Linked DNA regions of Lepisosteus oculatus. The protein of the gene in region 1 interacts with the protein of each later gene in a pairwise test. Links are inferred from orthologs where the notes say so. Each region holds a gene or a part of one and is shown on either strand. Other genes may lie near its edges.

The links.
Region 2: the proteins of kxd1 (region 1) and tcea2 interact in binary tests that used the Homo sapiens proteins (3 or more experiments, as listed by UniProt). The two-hybrid records come from large-scale screens. The link is inferred for Lepisosteus oculatus from reciprocal best matches to the Homo sapiens genes KXD1 and TCEA2.
Region 3: the proteins of kxd1 (region 1) and exoc7 interact in binary tests that used the Homo sapiens proteins (3 or more experiments, as listed by UniProt). The two-hybrid records come from large-scale screens. The link is inferred for Lepisosteus oculatus from reciprocal best matches to the Homo sapiens genes KXD1 and EXOC7.
Region 4: the proteins of kxd1 (region 1) and map1lc3a interact in binary tests that used the Homo sapiens proteins (3 or more experiments, as listed by UniProt). The two-hybrid records come from large-scale screens. The link is inferred for Lepisosteus oculatus from reciprocal best matches to the Homo sapiens genes KXD1 and MAP1LC3A.

Annotation. Positions count from the first base shown.
Region 1 is NC_090702.1:56,034,272-56,041,235, reverse strand, and holds the start of kxd1 (kxDL motif-containing protein 1), read left to right. Parts: upstream 1-3,957; 5' UTR 3,958-4,041; intron 4,042-5,361; 5' UTR 5,362-5,393; coding exon 5,394-5,488; intron 5,489-6,220; coding exon 6,221-6,373; intron 6,374-6,964. Other genes in the region: ovch1 (ovochymase-1), read left to right, coding at 637-735, 1,219-1,355, 2,601-2,765.
Region 2 is NC_090711.1:4,608,664-4,616,668, reverse strand, and holds the start of tcea2 (transcription elongation factor A protein 2), read right to left. Parts: upstream 3,022-8,005; 5' UTR 2,879-3,021; coding exon 2,804-2,878; intron 1,636-2,803; coding exon 1,573-1,635; intron 598-1,572; coding exon 492-597; intron 1-491. UniProt on the Homo sapiens protein: Necessary for efficient RNA polymerase II transcription elongation past template-encoded arresting sites.
Region 3 is NC_090704.1:43,129,475-43,137,360, reverse strand, and holds the start of exoc7 (exocyst complex component 7), read left to right. Parts: upstream 1-4,875; 5' UTR 4,876-5,017; coding exon 5,018-5,077; intron 5,078-5,553; coding exon 5,554-5,619; intron 5,620-6,085; coding exon 6,086-6,270; intron 6,271-6,819; coding exon 6,820-6,925; intron 6,926-7,248; coding exon 7,249-7,471; intron 7,472-7,886. Other genes in the region: protein HID1b, read right to left, coding at 476-625, 2,526-2,591. UniProt on the Homo sapiens protein: Component of the exocyst complex involved in the docking of exocytic vesicles with fusion sites on the plasma membrane.
Region 4 is NC_090711.1:2,773,785-2,780,685, forward strand, and holds the start of map1lc3a (microtubule-associated proteins 1A/1B light chain 3A), read left to right. Parts: upstream 1-3,900; 5' UTR 3,901-4,018; coding exon 4,019-4,058; intron 4,059-5,398; exon of another isoform or gene 5,399-5,504; coding exon of another isoform or gene 5,505-5,508; intron 5,509-6,901. Other genes in the region: dynlrb1 (dynein light chain roadblock-type 1), read left to right, coding at 24-99, 927-1,094, 2,104-2,147. UniProt on the Homo sapiens protein: Ubiquitin-like modifier involved in formation of autophagosomal vacuoles (autophagosomes). While LC3s are involved in elongation of the phagophore membrane, the GABARAP/GATE-16 subfamily is essential for a later stage in autophagosome maturation.

The DNA.
Region 1 (6,964 bases):
CCTATCCCAGCAAGTAAGGGGTGCACAGCAATGTTCACCCTGGACAGGACGCCAGTCCATCACAGGGCGCGCACCCACACCCACACCCACACACACACACCCTGGACAGGACGCCAGTCCATCACAGGGCGCGCACCCACACCCACACCCACACCCACACACACACACCCTGGACAGGACGCCAGTCCATCACAGGGCGCGCACCCACACCCACACCCACACCCACACACACACACCCTGGACAGGACGCCAGTCCATCACAGGGCGCGCACCCACACCCACACCCACACCCACACCCACACCCACACACCCTGGACAGGACGCCAGTCCATCACAGGGCACACACAGACACACGCACTCGCACCAGGGCCACTTTTCCCAGAACCTAATTAACCTACTGGTATGTCTTTGGACTGTGGGAGGAATCTGCAGCACCTGGAGGAAACCCATGCAAAAATGGGGAGAACATGCAAACTCCACACGGATAGTTCTCCAGGTCTGGACTCGAACCCAGGGCCCCAGTGGTGCGAGACCGCAATGGCAGCTACTGAGGTGCCGCCCTCTTCAAACGTGTTTAGAATGTATTTCGCAGCCGCGCTGGTTTGTGAATCTGCGGTGGTTTTTCTTCCTGTGAAGGTGACGCCGTGGCTCCGGCCTGCCTGCCGGATGAGAGCGTCGACCTGGATGACAGCTGGTCCTGTGTGACGACGGGCTGGGGGTCCAGCAGCGCTGCCCGTGAGTCAAATCCCTGCTGCCCCTTTCGGGAAGCAGCCTGGGTCGGATCTGGCAACGCAATCGCTCTCCCACCTTTTGTTTGGTCTCCTCGGCGGGATCCGGGACGCGAGTGTGGAACGCCTGTTGCACTCGGGGACCCTGACTCCTGTGTGCAGCTTCTGTTACTGTGCTTTAGGAAACCCATCTTCAAGGCCACGCACGTTGGATTGAGGGCGAGAGGGCCAAAACCCTAGAAAAATCATGGCTGAAGTTCACTAAAGGCCCTTCTGCTTACTCTTCCCTTTAAAGTCAGATTTCAGGGCTCGTCCTAAATTCTTTATTCTTTTCAATATTTTTTTCCCCTTGAGGTTTCATTATAATGTAGTTTGAAAACTTTGTGCTAGTTTTTCTTTTTTTAAAAAATATTGCTGTGTGTTTAGTGAGATGGGGTTTTTTTCCCTTTAAAAACGTCTCTCAAAGTGTCTGTTTCCAATCCGTTTCCAGCAAATATTAACCCGGATGTGCTGCGCCAGGCCAGAATACAGCTGGTTAATGAAACGTCTTGTAGAAAGAGCTGGGGAGAAGACCTTATTCTTAAGACCCACATCTGTGCAGGGGCAGCTGGATCCAGATCTTGCATGGTATATTCTTCAATTTCCATTCGCTCTTGCAACAACACGGTAACATCTGTACAGATACAGTATTTCATACTTTACAGTGCTCGAGATGACGGACATTTTAATGTTATTTATCATGTTATTTAGATGGGCTATACTGTAGCAGATTGGTAATGGATTTAATTGTTGGGAACACACTCTGGTAATCTGCACTGTTGTGAAAGAGAGTCCATTCATGTCGTTTCTGTGCCTTCTGCTCAAATCCCGCTGTTGTTTCATTTAAAACAGCCATTTTACCATTGCATCCTAAATATACAGTTAACTAAGTGTCAAAAGTAACGTATTGCTGATAATTGCAACAAATTAAAAGAGTTATCTGTAAAATATCTCTTCTTGTTGGGGGCATGCTGCTATTTTGTTGACCAGACTTGCGTTGGTTAATGTCTGCTACAGCACAGGGCAGTCTTGTGTACATCAGGCCACAGTTGCTGTCTGGTGGGATCCTGCACTGCTCCTCTCGGAGCCGAGACAAGCACGTGCCTGTTCCAGGGCTCAGTGATCAGTAATGTCATGGGTCATTGTGTGTATTTCATTGGGCTGTCTGTTGTTCAGTGGCCTAACAGCATCTGTACTCATACAGAACATGCTCTACCATGCCATTGCCTTTTAGTCAATTTCCAAAATGCAGCATTGCACCACCATGGTTAAAATCAACAGGTCTTGGTTGGGCTGGAATACTTGCATTGGCATCATTACAGCATGAGATCTCTTTGAAACCTGACTAAATACCACACTCCTACTACATTTCTGCACCGGTTCTCAGACATGGGCAAGGTGCATCTTTTATTTCTCCTACCATCTAAACGTTTACAATTCAACTACACTTTAAGTAGCGTGTCCTAGAATTTTATTTGGTATGAATGAAACGTCTCCCGTATCGGTACTGTGTGGGGATTTACTCAGTCTTCCATAAGACATTCCTCTTATTTAAACCCGTCTCTCCCAGTTCAACGAGGTCTTCTGCTACATTCTGAACAGCGATGTAGGTATATGTACAGGTATTGTTTTTACAGAGTCTGATTTTTCTATACTCTATACTTGCTTAAATTAAAGTTGAATTACTTTGAGTAGGTCGGGGTTTCAGGTCCACTTTTTGCCCATTTCAGTGGGTTGAAAGGGAGTTGGAATGAACCCCGAGCCTGACTGTGAACCATCAGAGTCTCGAATAAACTGAAGAGAATTTGTGTCAAACGTCCTCCCTCCCTCCAGGGGATCTCCGGAGGGGCGCTGGTCTGCAGCAGAGAAGGTGTGTCTTCCCTGTGGGGCGTGCTCACCTGGGGCAGCAAGACCTGCACAGCGCACAGGCCGGCTGTCTTCACCAGGGTGTCAGCCTACAGGTCCTGGATAAAAGACGTCACGTGGGGAGAGGTGTAAATACTGAGCAGCACGTCTGAAATAAAGTCTTAACCAAGATGCTCGATTCACTGGCTATGAATTCTTGCTGTTGTTGTTGACTCGGATCATTCTTCACATGATTAGGAGGTAGTTTTCTGGTTGACAAATGATACGATCGATTGGTGATTGATATGATAATCCAGGGGTCAAGCCAAGCCAGGGGTCTCCGTCCCGGTCTTGAAGGACCACGCGGCTGCTTAGATGCATAACTGAACCCTTAATTGACTTGATATTATCAATTCAAAAGATTGTTCTTTTTAAACATGCTGGAGGCTGCCTTTTATTATTGCATTTCATACATAACATACTCAGACTATAAAACAAATCCTGCAAATATTTCAATCAAGCAACTTCTCAGTCCAGCTCAGTGACGAAGCTCAGTGGGAAGGAAGGCCGGCAACTGTGTGGCACTCCAGCCCTGGAAGTGGGAGCCCCTGGCCTGAGGCCCTTCGGCATCTCGCGCTCATCTCTCAGGAACCAATCAGCTGAGCTGGAGAACCAGTCTCCTGCCACAGGAGGTTTGCAAAGCCTGTTGGGATACAGCGCATTACTACATCCCTGTAGTGGTCTGGTGTTGGGTGGCTCTGAAGCTGGCATTGTTACATGCTGTAAATGCACGAAAGGCAAAGCCCAAGCCAGAGATCTAATGATCTTCTTCTGAGTATGAGTTTCATATCAATACAGTTTCATATCAATACACCATGAAACAAGTGACCTGTCCATGTTGTTGAAGCTGATACTGAAGAAACAACTGAAGGAGAACCCTGGATCACTTAACAACCGAATTCCACTAAATACCAAGAGAGCTAGACTGGTCGAATGGTATCCTTCTTCTTTATAGCTGTTCTTAATTCTGAAAGTGAGAGGACATATGGCATGGAAACAAGCTGGATTGTTGCTTTATTTAATATTTCACTGGAAAACCTGCAGGAACAACGCCCCCCACCGGCCAAAGATCGCCCGTGCTCCATCCTCCTGCAGTAATCGGTGCTGTATTGATACGAAACGGGCAGTGTTTTAGATTAAAAACGCAGGACTTCCAGGGCCTGGGAATCCGCCTCTTCCGCCAGCGTGCACACGTGGTTCCGCGCCGGACAGGAAGTCCCTTGTGCGTTTCCGCAATACGGAAGTGAGCGCAGCGCAGTCGTGCTCAACCGAGGAAGGGCTGGAGACGTTTATTTACTACAACTAAATGAGGCTGTGGAAGTAAACATTAACCAGGATTACACCCACGGCAACCCTTGGCGAAGCAGGCGTGAGTTTACAGATGTAGCAAAACGAAGAGATGCCGCTTATTTCGCGTCTTCCATACCAGATCATGTCAAACTCCGAGCGTTACTCCTAACATTCAGTAGACAAGTCTAGGATCCGAGAGCTGCATCATGCCCATTCTCCTCTTCTTCATTTCTTGAACGAGTGACAGTGCGAGTTTGAGCGATACGATGCGCATTGGGGAGGCTGGCAGCCCCGGTTCAAATACGCGTCACTTGTCAAATAACAGGAGGTCGGCTGAGCCTTTTGAAGATGCGGACTTAAAAAAAAATGAACTGTGGAACCGTCCAGAAGTGGTTCATACGGAATCGACACTTGCTCGTTTCGTCTTCGGAATGCCGAATCGGTCTCAAAAAAAAAAAAAAAGTGTGTGAGGTGTTTTAAAATTCGCTTCCTGAACAGTTAGGCTTGACACCAGTAAACAAATTGCACGCGTGTCGTTTTCCAGTCTTGCGATGCACTGGCTTTACCGACAGCCGGTGGCGCTTCTGAGCGTGCATGGTAGTATATGCGTTTTATCTGGTGCTGGGGAGGTACAGTACGTGGCTGTTTGAGTCGCCGTGTGACGTTGACTCCAGGCTGCAGGGGTGCTGTGCACTCGATGCCCGTGTTTCCAAGTAAATCTCTTCAGTGAAGACCGCGGCAGCTGCTCAGTGCACATGCGGCTTCGAACGAGGCCCCAGCTGTAGAAACCAGGAAGGACCTCCTGCACCCTTCTACTGCATCTTCCCCATTCATTGCTTCTTCTGCCCATCTGATGTCTGGGATTCGTGTTTCTGCTTCCTGTTCGTTGTGACTTGCCCTTATCCAGTTCTGTTTCGGCAGGTGTCTGCCCCGGTCTGTAGTCTTTGCGTCCTGGTGTGATGCTCGTACAGTTACGGCACTATTTACAGTTCTGCCTGGATTGGTGTCCTCTGCACATTAGAAGCGATTTGAGTGTGGTCATGATTTGCCAGAGCTCGTCTTATTTCTGCTGCTCTCACTCTCGCCGGGACCTCCCAGCAGCCGGATCTCCTCCTTGCTGTGTGCTGCTCCGAGTGTAGAACAACAACACCTCGATTCCCCTGACACGCTCCTGTCACTGATGTTTGATCGAGTAGGCTCAGGACTGCCCGTAGTGTCTGTTTTTTCCTCCTTTCTTGTCATTTTTCATTTAAATTTCTGTGATCCCTTTACATTCTATAACTTTAACACTGATTTAACGTTTTGTTTGATTAATGAATGAAAGATTTCATAGTTATTTCTCAATTTACCAGCTTTTAATTTGCGTGTCTTTTTGTTTATATCTACTTTGTCCATTTAGGACACTGCTGGTTCTTTGCTCGAAGGCTCAGCATGGAGCCGACTGCTTCCGGCATGTTCTGCGACAGGATGCTCAGCATGGTCAATTCTGAGGATGTGAACGCCATCATCCAGGCGCAGAGGCACATGTGAGTACGATGCGTGGCTCTCGTCTAACTGCACTGTAATTCTGAGAATAAAAAAAACGTTTTGTCAGATGACATGCAGATATATCTGTGTTGTATAACACAGGAATTATTTTTTTGAAGGAAACACATCTGTTACATACATAAATAAGAGAGAGAGAGTTTCTCGATTGTCCCCGAGGTGGCAATTTGTTTTACGGCAGCAGACAATATCAGGAAAACGCACAAACAAACAACACGCATCAACATGAGCTAGAGAATCCTCTGGGCAGGATTCTGGGCGCAGGTTTCAGTAATAATAGCTCCACTGGATGCTCCACTCAAAGCTCTTTACAGGTAATGGGGATCCCCTCCACCACCACCAGTGTGCAGCCCCACCTGGATGATGCGACAGCATCCATAGTGCACCAGTACACTCCCCACACACCAGCTCTCAGTGGGGAGGAGAGCAGAGTGCACCAGTACGCTCCCCACACACCAGCTCTCAGTGGGGAGGAGAGCAGAGTGCACCAGTACACTCCCCACACACCAGCTCTCAGTGGGGAGGAGAGCAGAGTGATGAAGCCAGTTACATTGAAAAAACAAATAATATATAGGAAAGATGTTGGCTTCATTCTAGATTTAATTTTTTTAGTTTTATATTGCTGTTTTTTGTTCTTTAAATCCTGGAAGGGATATCGGTGTGCCGTCTCGTCCAGCTTCCAAGCACTTTCTCTATGTGACGTGTTCCTGCAGGCTGGACCGGTTTGAAAAGACCAACGAGATGCTTCTGAATTTCAACGGCCTGTCCAGCGTGCGTCTCCAGCAGATGAGTGACCGCTTCCAGCACCACACGAGGACGCTGGTGGAGATGAAGAAGGATCTGGACAGCATTTTTCGCCGAATCAGGTGCTGGCTTGTCTCCGCCTCCCCCAAAAGACCGTCCCTGGGAGAGTTCCATACTCTCTCACGGACTAGCAGGACTTTGCTAGGATCCAGGCCAGTCGCCTGCGGGCTCCAGGCACACACAGCCCCGCTCCCTAGACAGGGGACAGCTCCCTAGACAGGGGACAGTCCAGGTCCTGTCCCACAGCCGAGCTCTACGCAGGGGTGATGTGTCAGAGCGGCTCGGGGCATGAGCCCTGTTGCGCTGCAGGTGTCCCTACAGACAGCAGGTGCAGGATCCATCTTTCTCCGCATCTGCACAACATCTGGGGGAGATGACCCGAGGCGTGAAGCAGAAACATTAGAGAGCAGCTCTGGGAACAACAGATCACTTGTTGATCAAGACAGGTATCAGACTTCAGGGCTGCAGTTCAGATGGGAGACAACCTTGGATGTTGGAGCGCAAACATGACCCAAAGAAAATACAGGTTGTGGGATGAGGTATTTTTTTAGATTGCTTAAGATTCTAACAGACTCAAAATCCGTCTCTTTTTTTCCACTAACAATTCAAACTTCTCTCATTTACAGCGCCTTGCTAAAGTATGTAGACCCTTC
Region 2 (8,005 bases), on another chromosome or scaffold:
AAAAAAAAACAAGCAAAGCAAACCTTCACATTAGCATTTCTCAACTAATGTGCCTTCAGACATTAACAGGGTGCACCTTTAAAACTCTGAACAAATCACATATGAGAAAATAAAAAAAACTAAATATTTTTATATATATATACTGTATTAATGTTGTGGAGTAACCAAAGTCTCATGTTACATGTTCAGTGTATACAAAGAAGATAGAGGCCACACTTAAAGATCATCCATAAGGGAATGGCGTGTGGCACAAATTCAATTTTTTAAGCTTGACATAGCAAAATAAAAACAGAGAACATCTCAGTGCTTCCCCCATCATACATTCCTGAGATTTGTTTATAATATTTTAATAATGTGCTTGGGCCTATTACGTGTGTGCGCCCAGGCGGTGTGCCGCAAATTTTTTTAATTTACTGCATAAAATTGAACGGCGGAATGGAAATGGTTGAGAAGCACTACGTTATGTAAATCTGAAACAGAAAATTCATTACCGAGCAGCTTTTTCCACGATTTAATGAGAGATTTGGCTAAAGTCTGGACTTCTTCATCATTGCTCTGCTTTCTCACCGCATTAACAGACATCCCAATCCTTGTAGACTGTAAAATACAGAACATAACATTCAAACATGCAGAAAACACTTTGTATCTGTCTCCTTTCTGTCTCGAATAATAAAAAAAAAATCCTAAAAGAAATCCCAAAGTAATGTAAAAGCTAAACATTCAGTCAAGATAAAAATGGGATTCACAACCTGAATCAATCAGTAAAGTCATTCATTTGGGGTTCAGGTTGTGCCCTAGAGTCTCCCAGACACTCATTCTGGCCTGTACCACTACTCAGCTGCAGGAATAATTCCCTAAGTGGAAGCCCATTGTAGTGTTGGCTGCACTAGAGTGGCTGATCTTGGCAACTTGGCCAGCAGGGAACTCTGAGATAACCTGGGTGCTACGGGCACTCTGGAGCCCAGCTGGGTGTGGATCGTTGCCACACACACCTTCTCCCTAGGGACGGACAGAGGATCCGAGCAAATCACTGCTTGATAAAAAAAAGTGTGATTGTAATCCGAGGCCAATGCTGACATTTATAGGCTCAGCCCAGCATTGTGGCACATTCCTGGTACTGGTCATCCCACACAACTCATCTGGTGGAGATTTCAGGCACACAATCCCTATCCAGTTCAAAACCAGGGATTGTGTGTCCAGTGCAAAATAAAAATATAATCTGGAAATACTCAAAAACTGATGCCTATCTAGATAAAAGGCCAACAAGACGTTTTACAAACTGCCTAGGGTGGATTAATTGCACATTGCATGCACTTTATAAAGTAATTCTTAATAAGCCTTTTTAAAAGCAATACTATAAATACTCATGTGAGAGCAACATACAGTAATTGGTCCAGAGCACACTGCCCTGCTATACAGTACAGTTACAGCAAGGTGGATGAAACCTTAAACTCAATATATTAATAGCAACCAAGTGAGCATGATGGCCTTCTTTCATTGGTACCTCCTCGTGTTTTGAAAGTTACAATTTTGATTTCTGTCATTTCTAATGTTATGATTGCTCTAACTCACCTGCAACGTCTCTAATGACATTTTTATATTTTTTAGTTCTTTCAGCAGGTCCACAGCTCCATCCTAAAAAGATTAAAAGTGAAGTAAATAATTTGCAAACTCCGTGAACTTCAGAAGAATTCAGATACATACAATAAATGCAAGGCACCGCCGGTAGAATCAAAACCGAGACTTTCGCTTTCATTTCTTCCTAGGCAAATTCACGCGGGACTCTTAAACAGTGCGTGACTGAAATGGAATTCATGATTATATCATTAACGTTTTCTTGCATTGATAACATACATTTCTTGCATAGACAGTATAAACCCTACTGAAATACATTTAGCACTTAAGTCATTCCGTCATTAAACGTTCTATTTCATTTATACCTACAATGTGTTAAACCTGTTTTGCTACAGAAATGACACTTCATACGGATGGGTCGTTCTGTGTCACACTAGTCACAGTATATATATATCGCCATTTGTGTTAAATAACTGTAGCCGCCCGGGTCATAGCGATCCGGTCCATTGTTTTTATAGAAAAAGCCTGCTTCCCATTTGTTAAAGACTGACACTACAGAAAAATCTGGACCAATACCAGCTGCCAGCTCATCAGCACATAAACATGCAGATCTCTGATGCAGCCCACTTTTAGCCTTTAATACACGGACGGCACGATTGCTAGCCTACACAAAACTTCACGTTACCCAAGAGGTGTGGTAAATCCCAGCATCGCAGAACAGATTTGCATATTTCGGTACTGATATTTTGGGGATCCATAAGGATTACAGGCACTGCATGTGATGCGATGGCGTCTGCGAACAGTATGAGTGTGCTTACAAATTGACAAAACGGCTATTCTTCGTATCGTTATTATTTCATTACTGCAAAACGGCACAGCCTACATATGCATCCGAACCGTATGAGACTGGAGCTTGTCTCCTTTTCCCAGGTGGGTGCAATCTCGGCCTGAGATATCTGGGAACATGAAACCAGCGGATACTTTGTATTACCAGCGTTACAATTGTGAAATACAGCACAATCAAACAAGACGGATTTTTCTTGCTGAACACGAAAAAGCCCTTCCTATTTATTTAGACTTATCTTGCTATATATATAGGAAACTGCACGCAATAAAGCGCTTGGCCGTCTCCTCGATTGGATTTCGTCAGAATTTTCTACCGAAACAAAGGTGAAACATCTGAACAGCTATCACCTATGTTAAGAGGATGCTATTAAATTGTCCTTACCGTGTTTTTTTTATTGACCATCTTGTCTAGCTTTTTGGCAATACGCTCAACTTCTTGATCCTTCGCCATCTGCATGATTTTTATAAGAGTACTGCAAATGTCGCGAAATAAACCTCCATTTATCTCCCAAACGCTGATCACACTGCTTTCTCCCTACTCCCGCAGCATTCAGACGAGCTAGGCTGCCGCAGTACAACGACCGTGAATTTGTTTAGCGAGTCCGGAGTGGTCACATGGATCCTGGGATTTGTAGTTACTGAGGTCCCAGTAAGCCGAAACCCACAGTTCCCTTAGGATCATGGGTGCTGTAGTTTTTGTTCTGTGGAATATGTAAATAATAATAATAATAATAATAATAATAATAATAATAATAATAATAATAATAATAATAATAAACTTTATTTTATATGGCGCATTTATATAAAGGTGGCTTCTCAAAGCGCTTTACAGGAATAACAATAAATAAGAAGACTACAACAATAAATAAGAAGATTTCACAAGATAGGACACAATTATAATTACAACAATACAACAATAACAATAGAGGAGACCGTGGAAGGTGGTATTAAGAAGAGCAGAGGGGTGAAGAATGGAACCAGTTAAGTAAAGGCTTTTCTGAAGAAGAAGGTTTTGAGTCTGGATTTGAAGGAGTTTAGAGAAGGTGACTCTCTGATATCCTTGGGCAGAGAGTTCCAGAGCTTGGGGGCAGAACAGGAGAAGGCCCTGTCGCCCATACAATGTAGACGGGCTTGGGGGACAGTAAGGAGGGCAGAATTTGAAGAGCGGAGGTTGCGAGGTGGGGAGTAGGGTGATAAAAGTTCAGACAGGTATTGAGGTGCCAAGCCATGTAAAGCCTTATAGGTGAGCATGAGGATTTTTCTGGCGAAATGTGACCAGAAAAATAATAAATCTATTAAAAAAATTAAGCATGGTATTTGTAACACTTTGCAATGCATACTGTATGCATTCTGTATATATAAGAAATATATTACAAAATCACAGTAAAGACTTGAAAAGTATTGTAGGTATTGTCTTTGCAAAGTATTAAACTTTGCAACATACTTTGCAACTTTGCAACAATGAAATAAACAACATTTTTTTTATTTCTATCCTTTGCTTTGCTGATGTAAAGTTCAACAGAGTAGGCTCATCTTACCTCCATCTGTGCACAAAAGTTGAGCCTTTTACGCTCTGGTTAGAACTGAAAGCTACCACCAGAAAAACCAACAGATGGCGCTGTTGCTTCATTCAGAATAACATGCCCTTAATCGTAAGAACATGCAGAATTCTATTTGCTAGTAGCGACTCTTATTTGTGGATTTTTATGCGAATTTTTACATATCTACCTTTAGTGAATTAATTTTCCTGATTAACTGGCCCTATCTGTTGCAGTACAAAAATCTTTTTTGCTTTCTGTACAATAATATTTCAATTTATGTCATTAGTGTAGATTAGTTGTTAAGTTTTAAGGCACATTTCCTAATCAGTAAGTGGACTGGAAACTTTCATATATATATTAGACAGTGAAATGAAAAACAAGCGCATGTAATGCAATTCTTTGAGATAAATGATAATAACTATAGTATCAAAGATTATACAAATTAATTTTTAAATATAAAACGTGTTATATTTTTAATCACACACCTGTTTGGTGCATGTTGTACATATTGACTCGACAGGGATATATATTGCCATGCGAAATAGTTTATCAGAGGCGAAGGCTCTTTGCTAACTTTTTGTTTCTAAATATTTCCAGTCTCTGTACCTTTACATCTGTAGTATCAATTTGTATGAACATTTATTCTGCACATTGTACAGATAATTTCAAGAGATTTGTACAGATTTAGATTTACAACACATAGTTCTTAGATTAAAATCATATGAATATGAATGTCACTGCACTTTCTAAGTAACCTAGATATACTGTACATATTGCGAACAGTGTGTATATAGAGATCAGTGGATTTGTACATGGATTGGATTACAGGCAGATACGTAAGACAGCAAAGCATTATAAATAAAGAGTTATAGTGTTACTGAGTGTCTGTTTAGGCATAATAGACCAAAAACCTAATGACAGCATACAGCAGGAGTGGGATTGTGTGTATATCATGGTTGACACAATAGGGGATATCCCTTTCGGGGACTCAACAGACAGAGCTCACATTACTGTTCTGTTACTAGGGTGGTATGCTTTCTAAGGAAACCCCACCTTCGAAGGAGCCAACCTGCCTTACTGGAAATTCCCAGTGCTCCAATCTTTTTAGTACGGGAAGAGAAAACTCATAAATTTCCTCAAGCACTATAGTCCAAAGAAGAAGGTAGAATTACTGATATGATTTAAACTTACAGGTATCAACTAGCACTATTAATTCAGTCAGGAAACCAATCCAATGGAATTCATTTTAAAATGGTCTTGAGGGTCCCCACACTGCATATAAGAAAGATGTTTTTCCTGATTTATTTACGGGATTTCAAATATACTTCTGTACTTTGCAGGTCTTGGCAGTTACCCCAGTGTTTCTGGTAGAATAGTCTCATTAGTTATAAGTCCACAATTTCATAATAGCAATTTCCCCCTTTTCAGAGAAATGGAAATTCTAAAAGGAAGATGAAGATTATGGTCCTGAAGAAATATCATTGAAAAATATTTGAAAAAAGTAGAATTGATGCCCGTTTTTTAAACAGAACAGTTATTAAGGCTACAACAGTAATACGCATGACAAAGCAGTGAAAGAATAGCATGCATGTTGATTCCTGGGCCAATTTTCTCAGAAGTAAATTAACTTACTAGCATGTACTTGGACTGTGGGAGGAACCCAGAGCTTCTGGTGAAAACCCACACAAACACAGAGAGAACATACAAGCTCAACAAAGATAGAAGCCCAGGAATTAAACCCTGGGATCCAGCACTCCAAGGGAGCAATGCAAACCACAGTGCCACCAGCAGTAAATACAAGTTCCTCTTGAAGCGTGGAACACATTGACATAGAGTTACAATATGGTACAAGAACAGCATGTGTTGTGTCAGGTATAACATTGTGGTCTAACAAGTATGACCTTTAGTATTTTGTAGTTCTGGTTTCAGTTTGATTGAGTGGAAAGCTTGTGCAAGTTCACGTCACTTGAATATTTCAGTGAAATATGAATGGAATAAAATAATGTTCTTCAACAATTACAGTGACCTTTACTGCTACAAAATTTGTTAAAGAGCTGCTGATGAATGCACTTTGGTCTGCAGTGCATTTTAAATCCCCCCAGCTTCCTTTTATCTTGTGACAACATGCTGCACCTCCATCAATCTGATGTTCCCGTTCTTTCTTACTCGTCAAGAAGAGCTGATAAACCAGTTACTAAGGGCAGTGAGCTGAATTCTGTTGCTTTATGTCATTCTAAAATAATAACAGGAGTTATATTGCAAATAGCTTATCTTAATCCGTTTTCATTTTTCAGTTTTAAAACTTCTAAATAAAAAATGTTGTGTATAGGTGGAATAATAATAATTGCAATCATGCTCTTGAACTCAGTAAAATGACTGAATTAATTTAAGGAGAATTGTTTTTTTTTTTCTTAATAAGATCTCAGGGTTTTTTGGGGGCAAATCCTGGAGCCAACAGAGGGAAAATGAAGCAAAGCGATTTGAGTACATGGTATAAGTATCTGCTTACACAATGCTACAGTATGCATTTATACAGTGGTAAAGTTGAAATTATTAAAATAGGAAATGTTGTGATGAGAATATAGTCTACAACCAAGTCTTTTATGCCTTTTCTGATCTAAAAAAATGATACAGCGTGGGCTATAGTATTCTTTCCACAGGGAAGTTCATGTCATGATATCCGTGATTTTTATGGAAAAAACCCTAAAAGAAAATTAGTATTTCCCATCATTAACGCAGCCTTGTGTCTTTTACAGCCTTTCCAGGAGAAATGACGGAAACATGGTCAGAAAAACTGTCTGACATATATAGAATTTCGGCTAATGAATAAAAGAAGACTGAACAACATCCAAGTTTATTTCAAAACAATGAAGCATTATCTTCTTCTGTCAAGGGTCTTTCTGTCTGACGAAAGTACATGGTCTAAATTTTAAACATATGTACCAAAGCACATAAAACACTTTCTTTTAGACATCACTGGAGTCCAAAAGACTATCTCAGATTTGCCTTTTCTCCTTCTCAGCACAAATAGCTCACAGTCCAGTTATTAACCTGTTGTAGTTATATGTGCAGTAGTTTGTTTTAGGCTCCAGCTCTATTGGACCATCATTTATTTCTACTTCATCTACTATTTTGGGGTTTGGAATAGAGAATACATTATGGTCCAGTAAATAGTTCAGTAATGTACTGTAGTGGTGCTTCTACAGACGTTCATCACGTTCTTCCAGTGGCACTTCTAGTGCTACTTATGGATTAGGATAATTATTTTCAGGATCATCATGATTTATTCATATTTATTAGAATTGTATGATGCAATCAAACCCAATACTGGCATAGTTACAGATGCATATCCAACACTCCATAGTTGTAATTTGGCAACAAACAATTTTTCCTTAATGTATTGTAATTCTTATTACCAGTGCAAGAGTCAGCATTTACTTTTCCTGTTCAAAACGGAAAAACTTTTCCAGAACTCCACAAAAGGCGTTCACGTATGGTGACCATGTGTCTTTTCATATCAAGCCAGAGATAAGATTACATCATTCTGATCTGAATGAGATTCGACACACCGGGCTTATCAAGCAGAAGAGGAAATACAGTCACGGTGCGTATTGTAATAGAAAGTTCTAGTTCATTTGCTGAGCGTCTTTCCCATCCCCCTCAACACGGCACCCCCTCTCCCCAGCAACCTTGACCTGCCTCAGTCTGGTATTATTACATTTCCCCTTGGCTGGTAAAAGCAGGATTGCAGACTGCAGCCTGATAAATCCTGCTGTGGGAAGGTTTGAGCTCCTGAACTCTCACACAGTGTTTTCCAATTTAACACTTCCTTCATCGCCCGCTAACCAGATAGATTCGCAAAGGTAGCGTCCAGTGGGGATTCATAAGAATAGAACTGCCTGAAATGCACGGTGGACTTGTTTCCTCTGTTGAGGATCGCTAAGTAAGGCTTTCAAATTCTTATGTACAGTACCTGTTATTTCACTTCATTTCATCCAGGGGTTTTCCCCATGAAGTGTTTCTAGTGTGTCAAAGAATCCAAG
Region 3 (7,886 bases), on another chromosome or scaffold:
GACGCATTGCTCTTTGTGGACTGTCAACGTGTGTTCTTTTTCGAAGCATTAAAAAAAAAGTGAAACTACACAGCATTCTCACCAAGCAAGGAGCTTCAAAAAGTGCCGGACAAGCTGCTCATCCTCTACTTTTAAACTGCAGTTTGAAAATCAATAAAACAAAATCTATAAAAGTTAATAAAACCCATCCAGTGCTGACTAACATAGGCCATTGACTACTATAAAGTCTGCTTTCGGTTCATTTCCTGCACTCCAAAAGTGTTTGGGAGAAAGCCCTTCACTGCCTTGCAGGGAACAGACAGCCTCCCTTTCCACAGCCCAAACTCAGACACACTTCTCTGCCAGCCTGGGTGAAACCCAGCACCACTACATCTCAGTGCAAATCAATGATCTGAACCATGGACATCGGGGCTCGTTGATTGTTGCCACCTGTGCCCAGGTAGAATGCAGACAGCTGCCCCCAGACATTCAGTACCTTGTAGCAGAGGGTTGCCAGGTTTGAGGGAGACTCCTCGCGAACCGCTCGGATCTCCGCTGCTGGCACCAGGGCAAACACATCCTGCACTGAGGTAGCCGTGTCAGCCCAAAACTGGTCCCAGAAGGCGTCGTCGGTTGCCTCCACAGGCTGGAGTAAAAGATCCCCCCCAAAAAAGAAGAGAACATGAATTACACTTCCCAGAAAGAAAATGTGCTTTTACATAGAAAGTAAACCAAAAGAAAGAATTACCCCTTTTTACCAAGATGCTAACCAATGCAAGTGACAAAAGTATGACTGTATACACCATAAGGACACCCCCCCCCCGATGGGATGCCAGTCTACAGCAAAGCAGACAGAAAGACAAGAGCACAGACATACCCGCTCACACCTAGAGCCAATTATCCCAGAAGTCAGTTAAAGTACCAATACAAAAACATAAGCAATTTCTAAGGGAAAGAACCATCTCTGGATCTGAGAACTTGTGTAAAACACACAGGGGAAGAAGTACGCTGGAAAATGGAAAGGAGAAACGCAATCTGTATGACCTGAGGAAGTCTAAGTCCCTGCAGATGAAATGTCTGTTTCTCTTTTCTTAACCTTTAATTATTCCTTTGCAGCCAACGCATGGTGACGCCGATCTCCACTGAAACATACCATACAGATAATTGGTTGGCTTCACTCACCAGTAACGACACCACACGATGAGTTTTACACTAAGAAAAACTTTGATATAGATACCGATTTATGCATTTTTGATTCGGTAAGATACAAGTACGTACAAATATTTGTTCACGTAACAATCTTGAAAGGCACAGATTAACGAAATTAAATCATTTATTATTTTTGTGTGTCCACATCAGAATAGCGAACAACAACCTAAGATATTCGTCTCTAGAAACGGTGAATCGTGTCTAAAGCTTCTGAGTCCCCCCCGAGGTGAAAGCGTTGACAGTCAAATTGAGATTCAAATAAGAAAAAAAAATGTAGACTACTCAAATAATAAGCCTGAGTTGTATCACTCAGTTTGTACATACATTTGCATGAGACGATAGAAAAACAATCGAACAGCAAACTAACCTACTTGCCCGAATATTGTAGCCGCCATAACATCTATAAACAGTATGTCATTGCTTATTCTCTTATCTCACTCAGTCCACCTTAACCAAGCACCTGCCGCTCAGGTTTGCGAGATTAAAACACGTCATCAGTACAGTAGACCTCAGAAGCATACACGACTGTCTTTGAAATTACAGATTTAATTTAAACAAATATCAACACACTACCCTCTTTACTGGCTGACTTCAGTGCTGTTCTAATTTCCTATTTATCGTAAATCCACGAACCCCTGTCTCAGAGTCCACCTTGAAACACCTTCACCAGGTGTGCGCTCGCTTAACAGAAAAACCTCGGTATATGAAAATTAATAAATGTACGCGATCAATCGGTGATTTACTAGTAGAAACCCGCATGCGAAGTGGGAAAAAAAGACCAATCTCCCCATCGTTTATCGAAAATGATTTCCCAGGCCCATCAAGCTCTTAGGAATAGTCTACTACTAGCTACCTAGAAACAGTAACTAGCTACCTCTTTATTTACCGATGGGGGTGCGGGATTTTTTAATTCATTTTCACCCACACACAACGCATGCAAAATCCAGATTTTGTAGAGCGACAATTATAACAGATTGTATACAACGGTAAAATCTGTTATTTACATCTTTTTACAACCCATGTCAGACTGCATTTATAATAAGCGATACCTTTTACAATATGAAAGCAGAAAACGCACATAATTTAACAGAAAACGCCACAGTTTTTATTTCACGTTGTGTTTAACGCGCCCGATTACTGTGAAAACGCGTCATTTATTTATTTTCTTCAAAGAAATCCGTCTGCTGGGCTCGTCTGATCCATCCTTTCTCTGATGTTCGTGTACCATCTGGTCCCGTTTTCCTCAGTGCTTTCCATCAACCCAGCGTTTCAGGCTGCATATGTGAGCCGACAACGCTGCCTCCCTTTTTAAACGCATCGTTCCCCGTGTCCTTTACCTGCGTTTTAGTTGTGAGCTGTATTACGGCTTTCCTGAAGTTCAGCTTGGTGTCGGAGTTCCCCATTTTTTTTTTCCTCCCCTCGGGTGTCAAGACAAGCCTGCCTGTTTTGATCCCTAAATAATCTCTCTCTCTCTCTCTCACCACCCTCCCTCCTCCTCCTCCTCCGGCTCTCTCGCTGCCAAGGCGATGAATGAGGTGGGAGCAGGATCCAGGATGAGGGACTTCCGGGTTCCAGGCTTTCATGTGCACGCTCGGCGCTCGAGCAAGGCGCACAGCTCCTCCAGGCGTATCAACCTCCACTGCGGGACCCCAGGACGCCCCTTCAGATCCTACTCTCATTGCTGTGTCAACAAGTGCAAGTAAACATCAATTTATCTACCGCAATTCAAAATAAATACACATATGGGCATAGAATCCGGTGGTTGTGAAGTGTATAATCCTCGCTGGGTCAACCTGTCATGTTAGATTACTTTTATCAATAATCATATTATTACCCCCCACCTTACCGACTGTATCGATACATTTTAATGACACTAGACGCCCTTTGACATGTTTTTGGAATACAGCAAGCGGTTCCCGCCCCCATGTCCAGGAGAGCCTCTCTCCGGTTACTTTGATAAAATGCGCTAAGGCTGAGTGCGATTTTTTTTTTAACGCATTGCGATGGAATTGACCCACTTAATCCACTGACTACTGTAGGCGTTTAAATTATGCAACAGTAACTTCAATAGTATAAATGATATACGTGCAAAATTACTGCTCAATCGCCCGCGACTAAAATCTCTCATCCTTCATATCACAAAAATAATTCCTTACACTGATATATAACGCTTTTTCTGGACACTTCAGTCAAAGCGCGTTATATGTAATGGGGCCTCCCCTCCACCACCCCCACCAATGTGGAGACCCCACCTGGATGATGCCTTATCATTAATGACATCATTAAGTCAACAAGCTCGTGACTCTTGTATTCCATATCTTGGGCACCCAGTTTACCACGTGCCAGGGCACTACCTGTAGCTGAAGCATTCTTTTACCTTCGCATGGGGCGCAAACAAACAATTCTAAAATCTGGGTGTATAGTTTTCTCTCAGCACTATAATGATACAATTTCTCTTTCTGTTCTTCTGAAGCTAAAAGAAGATTTTGAGCCTGTGAGCCTGGTCAGTACCTGGGTGGGAGACCTCCTGGGAAAAACTAAGGTTGCTGCTGGAAGAGGTGTTAGTGGGGCCAGCAGGGGGCGCTCGCTCTGCGGTCTGCGTGGGTCCTAATGCCCCAGTACAATGGCGAGTCCCCATTACCTGTAAAGCACTTTGAGTGGAGTGTCCAGAAAAGCGTTATATAAGCAATTATTATTATTAAAAAAGAAATGTTACACTTTGAGTAAACAGTAAAATTAAACATTAGATACTTTTCAGATTATTAATCATAACACTGAGTTATTATATGCCATGGAAGTGTAAAACACAGGACTATGTAGGTAATACCCAAGTTTTCCCAAAATTCAGTTTAATTCGATTACCAGATAGATTCATATTTAAACCGTTTATTCTTACATATTATTTGTGCCAACAGTATCTGTATACCTATACATAAAAGTTGATGTCCGTTTAAAAAACGCTGTAGTTCCGTGAGCAACCTATGGGCGCTTGTTAAAATTAAATACTTCCTGGGCACTCAAACTTTGAGAGAGTCATCGAGACAGATGCTTCTGTAGTGTAAGACACTGCATAATTAGAATTTACCAGGAATAGCCTTACCAAAGGTTTATAATCGCCCTTTAAAAAAGAGCACAATAACATTTTTTTCCCCATTTATCACAATCGATATTATCAGGCTATTCGGTAATTGGACAGCTGTGATTGTTGTACTCTAGTTCCTAACAAAATAAAGGATTATCTTAAAAAATTAAGCGCTGTACTTTTAAGTTCTCGTATTAATGGCCATCCTACAGCGACACGATGTGAGGGGAACAAGAATTGCATTAGGTTTATTTTGTGGTAAACCCCAACACGATAAAATCACCTTGAAAAATTAGAATTTATATTATATAAGACGACAACTGTACACGGAATAATGTATTTGTGTTTAAACAGAAAAAAAACAACCAAATAGTATGTCCATAATCATTAATTCAAAGTGATTTAAATGACTTCAGTTCAAAATATTAATAAAGTGAGACTCTTTTTTATTGCAGCATTCACTAATCCCCTAACAAAAATGTTTCGCACGCAACAATTTTAGAAATAACAAAAAATTCTTTTCAAATGCAATTCTTGCCACAACCAAAATGAAGGAAACACCGGACCGTACGGAGAGGTTCTGTACTGCCTTGCTGCCAACCGGAAACGGAAGAAGGTCGAAAGAGAAAAACAGGAAGCAAAACCTGTTAGTATGAGTAGGGGTTCAAGTGCATTTAATTGTTAGAATCAAAAATATAAACACTAATACTTTACTTTAATAAGGACATTAACCAGTCATTTAGCAGGATGATTCCAACGGAGGACGCATCCTCTAGGAAGAGAGAAATAGAAGAGAAACTCAAACAGGTTTGTAGAGGATCAACGGCACTTTTAGAGTATTTTCATCTGTTCACAGTCATCTTGAAGGACTGTGATTCATTTTCCTTTTTGGATATAAAAAAAAAACATTCTTTGCCGACATTAGTTTACGCATCTGTGTGCATTCCAAGTTGTATTAATTGCAAAAGTTCATTGTTGTTAATGGTAGTACAGTATGTGGAGATTTCTACTGTCAAAGCATAGTGATCTCTAACGCTTGAGCTCGGAGGCGGCCACACCCCTGTACAATGGGGGCTTTTTAGATGGTTTCAGTCAGTGGTTAAAGATCATGTTCATTTTGACTGTTAGTTGGCCTAATTAAGCAATTGAGAGACAATGGTTGCAGTTCAAACAAGAATACCCATTGGTTCCTAACGGCCAGGGCTGGAGCCCTCTAGGTACAGAATATAAGGTGTGATTAACATGCTTTCCAGCACCTCTGTTATATTTTTACCCTTCGACAGGAGCAGGACACGTTGTCATTCATCCGTGAAAACCTGGAGAAAAGTGATCAGCTGACGAAAGGAATGGTAAGAAAACCGTTTAGATCAGTGATGTTCTCTCCTGGTTGTGTAGGACTGCAGGGCACCAAGTTTTAACTTGTAATCCTGAAATAGTAAAAATGTAGAAACAGTGGCTATACAGATGGACGTAAAGCCAAACAACAATGAGGCTCTCCAGTGCCTTATATGTTTGTTTTTAACTTAGACTTATGTGGTTATCCCAAGGTTATACAGTCTGATTTTCTGGGTTGGTGTGGAATTGCCTTTTGGTAACAAAGCAGCACTGAAATAATTTGTTGGATTATAGTATACTGGGGGTGTCCATAGTATTCATGGTCCTGTGGTCCACTGGATCTTTCAGGTTTCATAGTTCTTTTGATTTGTCTCTGAATAAGAGTGGGTAGGATAAAAAAAATGAATGCAACTGCTTTTGCAGCTTCGACTCTGGTTAAAGACCTCAACCCTCTCCCTACGCTGCCTCGCTGTTCTGCAGGTTTCCATCTTGTCCTCCTTTGAGAGCCGCCTCATGCAGCTGGAGAACTCCATCATACCAGTGCACAAGCAGACAGAGAATCTGCAGCGGCTGCAGGACAACGTGGAGAAGACTCTCTCCTGCCTGGACCACGTCATCAGCTACTACCACGTGGCCAAGGACACAGACAAGATCATCAAAGAGGGGTGAGGCGTGGTGTCCAGCATGAGGAGGGGCTGGGAGTGTTCTGGGTGAACCAAACCCACCGTTCCAAGATAATAATAATAATAATTGCTTACACTTATATAGCGCTTTTCTGGACACTCCACTCAAAGCGCTTTACAGGTAATGGGGACTCCCCTCCACCACCACCAATGTGCAGCCCCACCTGGATGATGCGACGGCAGCCATAGTGCGCCAGAACGCTCACCACACATCAGCTATCAGTGGGGAGGAGAGTAGAGTAATGAAGCCAATTCATAGATGAGTAATTCTTTCGTTTGAATGGAAGGAAGAAGCCTTTAACTTCATTAAAAAGCGGTAGTCCACTACCTGGGTAGTTATTTGCAATTTGCAAGAAATCACCAGATAATGCGATTTAATTTAATCTAGGTCTTAGTCTGCTTGCAAAAACATTAATAAATCTGAATACTGAAAGAGTGTGAAAATAGTGTTGGTTTCACTTAAATCGATGCAAAACAGGTGCACGTTTTGAGACTGCCAGTTTATTATACTCAGTTAAGTGTGTGTTTCAGCCCTACAGGCCGACTGGATGAGTACCTTGCTTGTATTGCGAAAATCCAGAAAGCAGTGGAATATTTTCAGGACAATAACCCTGATAGCCCAGAGCTCAACACAGTTGTAAGTCCTGCCCCTTTTTTGAATCTAAACACTGTTTTTATGTGTTTAATATTACAATTTGTTCATGTCTCTTTTGAATCTGAGTGATTTCTGTACTGTACTGAAAAAGACAAGATGTGTATTTTAATGCAACACCTATTTTGTCCGTTGCTCATCTTTGCCAGCTCTGTTACATGAGGTCATGATTTTAAGAATGTGAGGATGAAGCTTTTCAATGGCAGTACCTCCTAAGCTCAACTGTCCTGATAGACTGATGCACATTCTTAAAAGGACCTTTGTTAAAGAAGGAGTTTGGTTTTACCCTGTCATCTTCCCTTCCCCAGAAAGCGAGATTTGAGAAGGGGAAGGAGCTGTTGGAGGCTGAGTTCCGGAGTTTGTTGACCCGCTACAGCAAACCTGTGCCGCCCATCTTGATCTTGGATCTGATTGGAACCGATGAGGACCTGGATGTGCAGGAAGAGGTCACACTGGAGCACCTGCCTGAGGCCACACTGCAGGATATCATCTGCATCTCTGGCTGGCTGGTAGAATACGGCCGCAACCAGGGTACCCCACGATTGTCCTGGAACTCTTTCACTGCATGCAGCTTCAGTATTGAGTTTGCACTGTATGGAGGGAATGTGTGGTGAGGGGTTGTAGTCATTAAGGTTGCAATTCTGTTAACTCATTTATTTTTATCTTAAAAAGCAAATGATAAGAAAAGCCTTTTCCCTCAAAAAAAAATCTTGCATACGTTGTAATTAAAATGTATATTCCTTATGGCCTAGGACTTTAAACTTTTTTTTAAATGATGCCCTTTAAACTCTTTAAAAGGCATCATCAGTCCAGCATGTTTTCAATTCATTGGCTTTTTAAGGCCCATGAAGAATTTTTATTGGTCTAGTTGTGCCTTGTTTAGAGCGCAGTGAAGTTGGCACCCCTACGAATAGGACATACAGTTAAACCCACAGCCGTTGTTTGT
Region 4 (6,901 bases), on another chromosome or scaffold:
CTGATCACGGGCGTGTCTTGCAGGCTGAAGTGGAGGAAACCTTGAAGAGGATTCAAAGTCAGAAGGGTGTCCAGGGGATCATCATCGTTAATGCAGAAGGTACGTGCGCCCACCTGCACAGGTATCATAGTGGTCAGCATTGCTGTGGCGGAGTCCTGGGCTTGGTTCCAGACCTGGGGTGCTGTCTGTGTGGAGTTTGTATGTTCTCCCCAGGTTTGCGTGGGTTTCCTCTGGGCGAGTCCACATGCTCGTATGTTCACTAGCTTCTGGGAAAACTGGCCCTGGCTTGAGTGTGTCTGCCCTACGATGGACTGGAGTCCTGTCCAGGGTGTACCCTGCCTCGTGGCCACTGCTGGGATAGGCTTCAGCTCCCCACACTTCGGAAAGCACTTAGAAAAGGGTCTGTTTTCTTGACTTGCTCAAGTGGGAATCGCCAGTTGTTTTTAGGGCCGTGAGCCCTGGAGAGGGTGGAGGCTGGCAGACAGGCCCCCCTGGAGAGCCGTTCAGCATCACATCTCTCGCACCCGTGTCCCTGCAGGCTGAGGCAGAGCCCGAGAACGCTAGGGCTTCAGGGGAGGCTTTTACTATTCTTAAACGCGGGCCACAAAACGTGCCCAGTGGGTTTCTGACCAAGTTTGATATCCTACGTGTTCACAGGGGTTTTTCCCCCAGTATACTCCCACAGTCCAAAAACATCCTGGCAGGTTAATTGGCTTCTGGAAAAACTGGCCCTGGTGCGAGTGTGGGCACCCTGTGATGGACTGACGTCCCACCCAGGGTGTACCCTGCCTTGCACCCCTTGCTTGCTGCGATAGGCTCCAGCTCCCCTGCAGCCCTGAACTGGACAAAGAGCTTAGAAGATGGGTGGACTTGAAAGGCGTGCGCCATGCATCCCCCACCTCACTCCCTCTTGCCCCTGCTGGTAGGGATCCCCATCAAGTCCACGCTGGACAACTCCACCACCGTGCAGTACTCGGGGCTCATCCACCAGCTGGTGATGAAAGCGCGGAGCACCGTGCGGGACATCGACCCCCAGAATGACCTCACCTTCCTCCGGCTCCGCTCCAAGAAAAACGAAATCATGGTCGCCCCAGGTAACCAGATCAAAAGCATTTAAAAACAAACATTTATTAGTCCAATCGCTGTTTGCATCTGTTTTGCTAGATTGATTTTAAGAGCTGGGTGACGTGTGCAGCAGTATGTGGAGTTATATACAGTGTATGCCTTCGCTGAGATTTATAAAACTGGGCTCATCGGCCCCCCCTACAAGCACCCTGTAATTGTGTGGGGTTTAGTGGCCAGTTGGATCACGATACAGGAAGGGAATAACAGAAAAAATAAATCTTCACTGCATTATGTTAGTAGCTGTTTTTTGTGTTTCTATGCTCCACGCACGCTGATGTGTAAAATTCCTCGCCCAGCGTCCTGCTCACTGACCACTGTGGGGGTGCGAGCAGGAGCAGCAGACAGGTATTAGCGTAGCTCAGCCTGAGGGCTCTCTCACCCAGAGTGCAGATCGAGCCCCTTGTCCGAGCCGGATAGAGAGGGCGTTATTCAGGCAGGAGAGCCCTGTGACCTCCAAGGTGATTCTCACAGAGGTTTCAGCTCTGGCAGGTAGGCAGGTCCTCACTCTCTGTGCAAACAGAAAAGCAGCAAAATGAGCAGAAACAGACTGGACATTAGAAATAGTTAAAACGAAACCCAACTTTTTTTTAAATGTTTTTTTTAACGTTTCATGTTTAATGTTTACAATTTCTTGCATTTGGAATGTGTCTTTTCACATACCCCAGCTTTTTCTCCATGGAAACACAGACAGGGAGAGAAGCTTGGGGTCAGAGCGCAGGGTCTGCCATTGTACGGCGCCCCTGGAGCAGTTAGGGTTAAGGGCCTTGCTCAGGGGCCCAACGGAGTAGGATTCCTCTGCCGGCCGCGGGATTTGAACCGGCAACCTTCCAGTCACAGGCGCAGATCCTTAGCCACAGAGCCACCACTCCGCCCTTATGTCATGCAGGGGGTCATTGGGAGTGCTTTAAGGCAATAATATTTTAAGCTTGTTTTGCAATGTTCAGTAAAATGATAATCTTTGTTTTTTCCTTTTGACAGATAAAGAATACTTCCTCATTGTCGTCCAGAATCCTACAGAATAAGAAGACCTATTCCTTTTATTAAGTTATTTTTTTTATTTACAAGGCCAAATGGTGTATGTCGAAAACTGTGCCAGTGTCGGATAAATTGTTCTAGGTTTATCTTGGAGAAAAAAGCATAAATTAGTTTCATCACAAGTATTCATTTTGTGCAAAGAGTGTAATTCAGTGCAATAAGAAGTAAACCTTTACTGCAGCTCCATTCCTCTGGTTCCCAAGCTATACATCATAACTATACAATGAAAGAGAATGTATTCTCCATGCACATGCAGCAGAAAGCACAGGCTAGGAACTGCTGCTGGTTTAAAGAGTTGGAAACAAAATCACTGAAGTGCAGGGGTGAAGACTGACCAGGTCCAGTGTGATCCTGTGTTTAATTCCGGACTGCTTCCATGAAGGCCTGCAGCATTAATGATTAAGCATCCTGCACTGTCCTGCTCAAAAACTGGTCACTATATTTTCAAAGACGTTATCAATGTAGAACTTGTTCTTATTTACATTTAAACAATCTTTTAGTTTAATAAAACTTGAGGGGTTGGAAAGCTGTGGTTTTCCCCAAAGGGAGCTGGCTTGCAGAGGGTGTTTGAATTTGATTTGTATTTGTTTCCATTCATTTCCTGCACCTGTGAGCTTAAAAGGCATCTGCAGCTCAACACGGTTTTTACTGTGGCTTTTGGGAAGAGTAGATTCCACTACGTGTACAGTGCTTTTCCTCCGATGTAAGGCCGTTTAAAATCTCTTGATTTCTTCAGCTGACTAAAGACAGCCACCCACTGGATGAGTGCAGAAAAGACTCATCTTGGCTCTTGCCCCTACTGTGTTTTGGACCATGAAGCACCCTTTTCCTTTACAGAACTTGTTCCATACTATATATTTAAGAAAGTCATGTGTCAATTTAAAAGCATCTAATAAACTTCTCATGGTGGCAATATGTGCAAAGAGTCTGTATGTTTGCTTGGGTTTCCTCCCACAGCCCAGAAACCTGCTGCTAGTGTGAGTGTTTTTCTGCGTGCCCTGTAATGGCCTGGTATGTACATGCACTCTCTGCACTGAATTAGACTGATCAGCACAGCCCTCTGGATTACACAACACTTAATGCATGTCAAGCAGAAATAATGATTCAGTTTTCACAGCCAGGATTGTATCAGGAACACCCAGTGAGGGATCCTACAGTACCCCCCCCCCACCAGCTTTCCTTTGCCTACATGTCCAGTAGAAGTGTACATTTTAATTGCAACACAAAACTACTAAAAACAAATAAAAGCCTCCTTAATGCATAAAAGTAACGACCTCAGTTTTTTGTTTTGAATATCTAAAAGGTAATTTACCAGGAGGCCATTCAGCTCATACAGCTTCTTTGCTAGTTAGTAGTTAATGGATCCTGGGATTTTATCGAGGTGTTTATTGAAAGAGGTCACGTGGTCAAGGCCTATACCCTGGATGAATCAATCAGTTAGTCCAACACTCCCACCTACCCCGTCTCTAAAGGTCAAGTTTAAACGTGTCACACTTCAATAAACTGGGTGTAAAAACCAAACATGGGCAGTGTTATCAGTAAGGGGCATCATTGCGGGTCTTATTGTTGCCTTTTAAATTTCTGTCTCCAACCCCATTAAATGATTAAGTACTACGAGAGCACCTAAAATGGATGAAAGGGATTCATGAAACACGTCGAGCCGATTCTGTCGGCTAAACACTCCTCCACCCTCTCCACAACACGGCTCCTTCCCCTTTAAGAGTCTCCGGCTGACGTCATACTGCTCGGCTCGCTACACTGTCACAAAAGCGAGCTGGGCAGACAGAGATCCGAGCCCCAGGTTGTCCAGTCATCTGTGCTTGAGACGGGCGTTAAACCGGACTGATCCCTCACAATAATGCCTTCCGACAGACCTTTCAAACAAAGGAGGACGTTTGGTAAGTCATAAACAGTTTATTTGCAAATTAGGACAATGTATTCCCCACCACCACTATCATTGATTACCAGATGTCGTGTCGCTCAGTCTTTTGTTTACCAAACAAAAAAAACAACAATCTAGAAACCTCGTCATAAAGACGGCCTGTCGGGCACTTCTGTTGTGCCCGACCTGGGTGGGTTGTTTTTCTGCCGTGTACGTGAAGCGGGCGTGAGCGTGTTGAAAGGTGTTTTTTTTCTCGCGTCCGTGTAGTTTATTAAAAACGCGGAGCGATCCGGAAGGCCGTGCGTTCACATCGCCGCTCTTGAATCCGTTAGTTGAATACCGGCAGGACCGAACAAGTTGGCATCCGTACCAAACCTCAGTTATGGGCTCTGGTGTTCAGGGACGGAGGATTTTAAAGTCCCATTATTACACCAGCTTGCTGGGTGCACTGCAGGACCTCGCTCTGTGCGAGACCACTTCGGATAACGCGGCCAACAGCACCAGGTTTTGATGTCAGGTTCTTCACGAAAGAATTGGATGATGTAGTATCGCTGCCACAGGGTGGTCCGAGGTCACAGTGTGCTTGGCGTCACGGGCACCCGGTTTCGGGAGTGGGGTCGGCACCCCACGGTGGGGAAGATGGGGAGGTACAGTGAAGTTACATATAATACACTGTTTAATATGGGTCCGCGTATGAGATACAGATCGGATACATGGTGGCAAAAGAACAGCAAATTGCATAAAATGGAATCATTCTCTATATCGGAATGTATTACGTATATGACATACCATACATCAGATTAACCCAAAGAACGTTTTCATCATTCTTGTTAGGACGTTAAAAGCGATTCAGTTTTACGGACTTGATTTCATAAATCAGGATTTTCTAATAAGCGGATATTGACCTGCAATCCCGGCTATGTCGCATCTTAAGAGTATTCAACAGGTGTCTTTAACAGTTCGACAACCTGTGCCGCCTTCAGCGTGCACGCCTTACCGCGAGTATCCCCCCGCCTTTTCACTTCAAAATGAATCAAGGCAGGCTTGTGTGAGAATGCGCACCTCCAAAAACAGCGCCGTACCGCGCAGCCACGCAGGTTAACGCGGGATGTTACCCGTCTCGGAGAGATCGTCAATGTGCTTCCAGACGAAAAGCTGCTCGTCTGCAGAAATCTCCCAACAGGAAGGTCTCAAGGCGACCCGACGGCCCCGCGTGTTTCCGGCGCGATGGGGGCGGAGCTCCGGGGCGGGCGGGCTCCGTCTTCAGGCAGGACCACACCCCCTCACCTCCGCGAAGCTTGGACTTTTACTACAGTAAACATCTTTGGGACGGTGCGTGCTGGATTCCGAATGCCAGCTGACCCCAGGTCAAGAATGTTAAAGGGTGATCCTCATTACGGATGTCTTGCAAAGAACCCGTGCATATGAAGAGGATGCAGGGCTTGACAGAAAAAATTGCAGTATGGGTAAGGGCAAAATAAGAGCAATAGGCTTAGGAAATCCTCCAAATAGAAAAACGGGTCAATATTTTTTTTTCTTATGACGGTATAATCCAACAGTGCTGAGGGATAATTAAGCATTCTATTTCATTTAGCACACAACTTCGGTTAAATTTACAGGTTTTCATTTAGAAGCTGTGGGGGGAAACCATCCTCTACCTTAAGGCGTCCTGTCGATTAGGGACTTGTAGCTGACAGCCGGTATCGGAGCAACACGGAACTAATTGGTAAAGGAGAGAAAAGCCCCTCCCTCCTTACTTTAAATAGACTCGTACAGGCTCCGCCTCAGGTGGGTGTGAACAATGAAGGGCTTGCCGATCCTGGCACGCGAAGACGACACCTGCTGCTCTTTAGCCCAGCTGTTCTTGGTTGAAGCAACACCTTTCCCGGCTGGAATGCGTGGTATTTCTTCTCCACTCGGAAGGGTGGTGTCTTATTCCACTCATGAAATGCAGTGGGCAGAAAGCACCCTCCAGCATGGTGTTTAAGAGCCGAAGAACAATCCAGAGGTTCAAGTGAACCGTGTTGATACCATCGGTGAAGGGCTCAGTTCTGGGACCATGGGCTCGACTGGAACAGAACTCCAGGACCAGGATGTAATTTGCGCCCCTGGTGGGCGTGACCCTAGCAGACATCCCAACTTGGAAATTGGGATTTCGGGGGTCGACCCCTAGTTACCCCTGTTTGCCCTCTCGGGGGGCTTTGTGCTTGTAGCTCCTCTTCGCTGTCATTATGCACAGTGAAGTCCCGTGGTCAGACTGTACTATAATGTGATCCACAGATGAAGGGGAGGTCACTGCTTGGGAGTGTTGTAATAAAGAATGGGGAGTTTTGCCGGTTATCCTGTTCCTGGTGGAAAACTGCAGTTCAGTCAGTGTGACTGGACTCTCCGCTCCGACCCCTTGCTGATCTTTAAGGATGACTGCCTGTTCTAACCTAATAGGTTTCGTTGGAGCTCTTTAATTATATTTAGTTAGAGGTTGTCTTTCAGCTTTTTCTTAAGTCATTTGTTCTCCACCTACTGAGTAGAAGAAAAGCTTTCAAAGGTTCTAACCAAGCAAGTTGTTGGTTCCTCGTTAAGGACTAATTAAACAGAGAGCTCAGCTGCAATAGCAGGTTCCTTTGTCTCGGAGTGGGAACTCTGGCCTAGACCAGTCCTGGTGCTGTTTATGTAGCAGAAAATTGATTTTTCTCATTTGCCCACTGCTTATTTTTGTGCTGTCAGTGTTAGTGTTCGCGGTCAAAGGTCAGCCACGTCTGTGTACAGCTGTGTACTCTGATCAGGAGGATCTGTGGGCATGTAGAGACTGCCTGGCTGAACTCGTTTCGGTAGCTAACACAGGTCAGCTGACTGTTACTT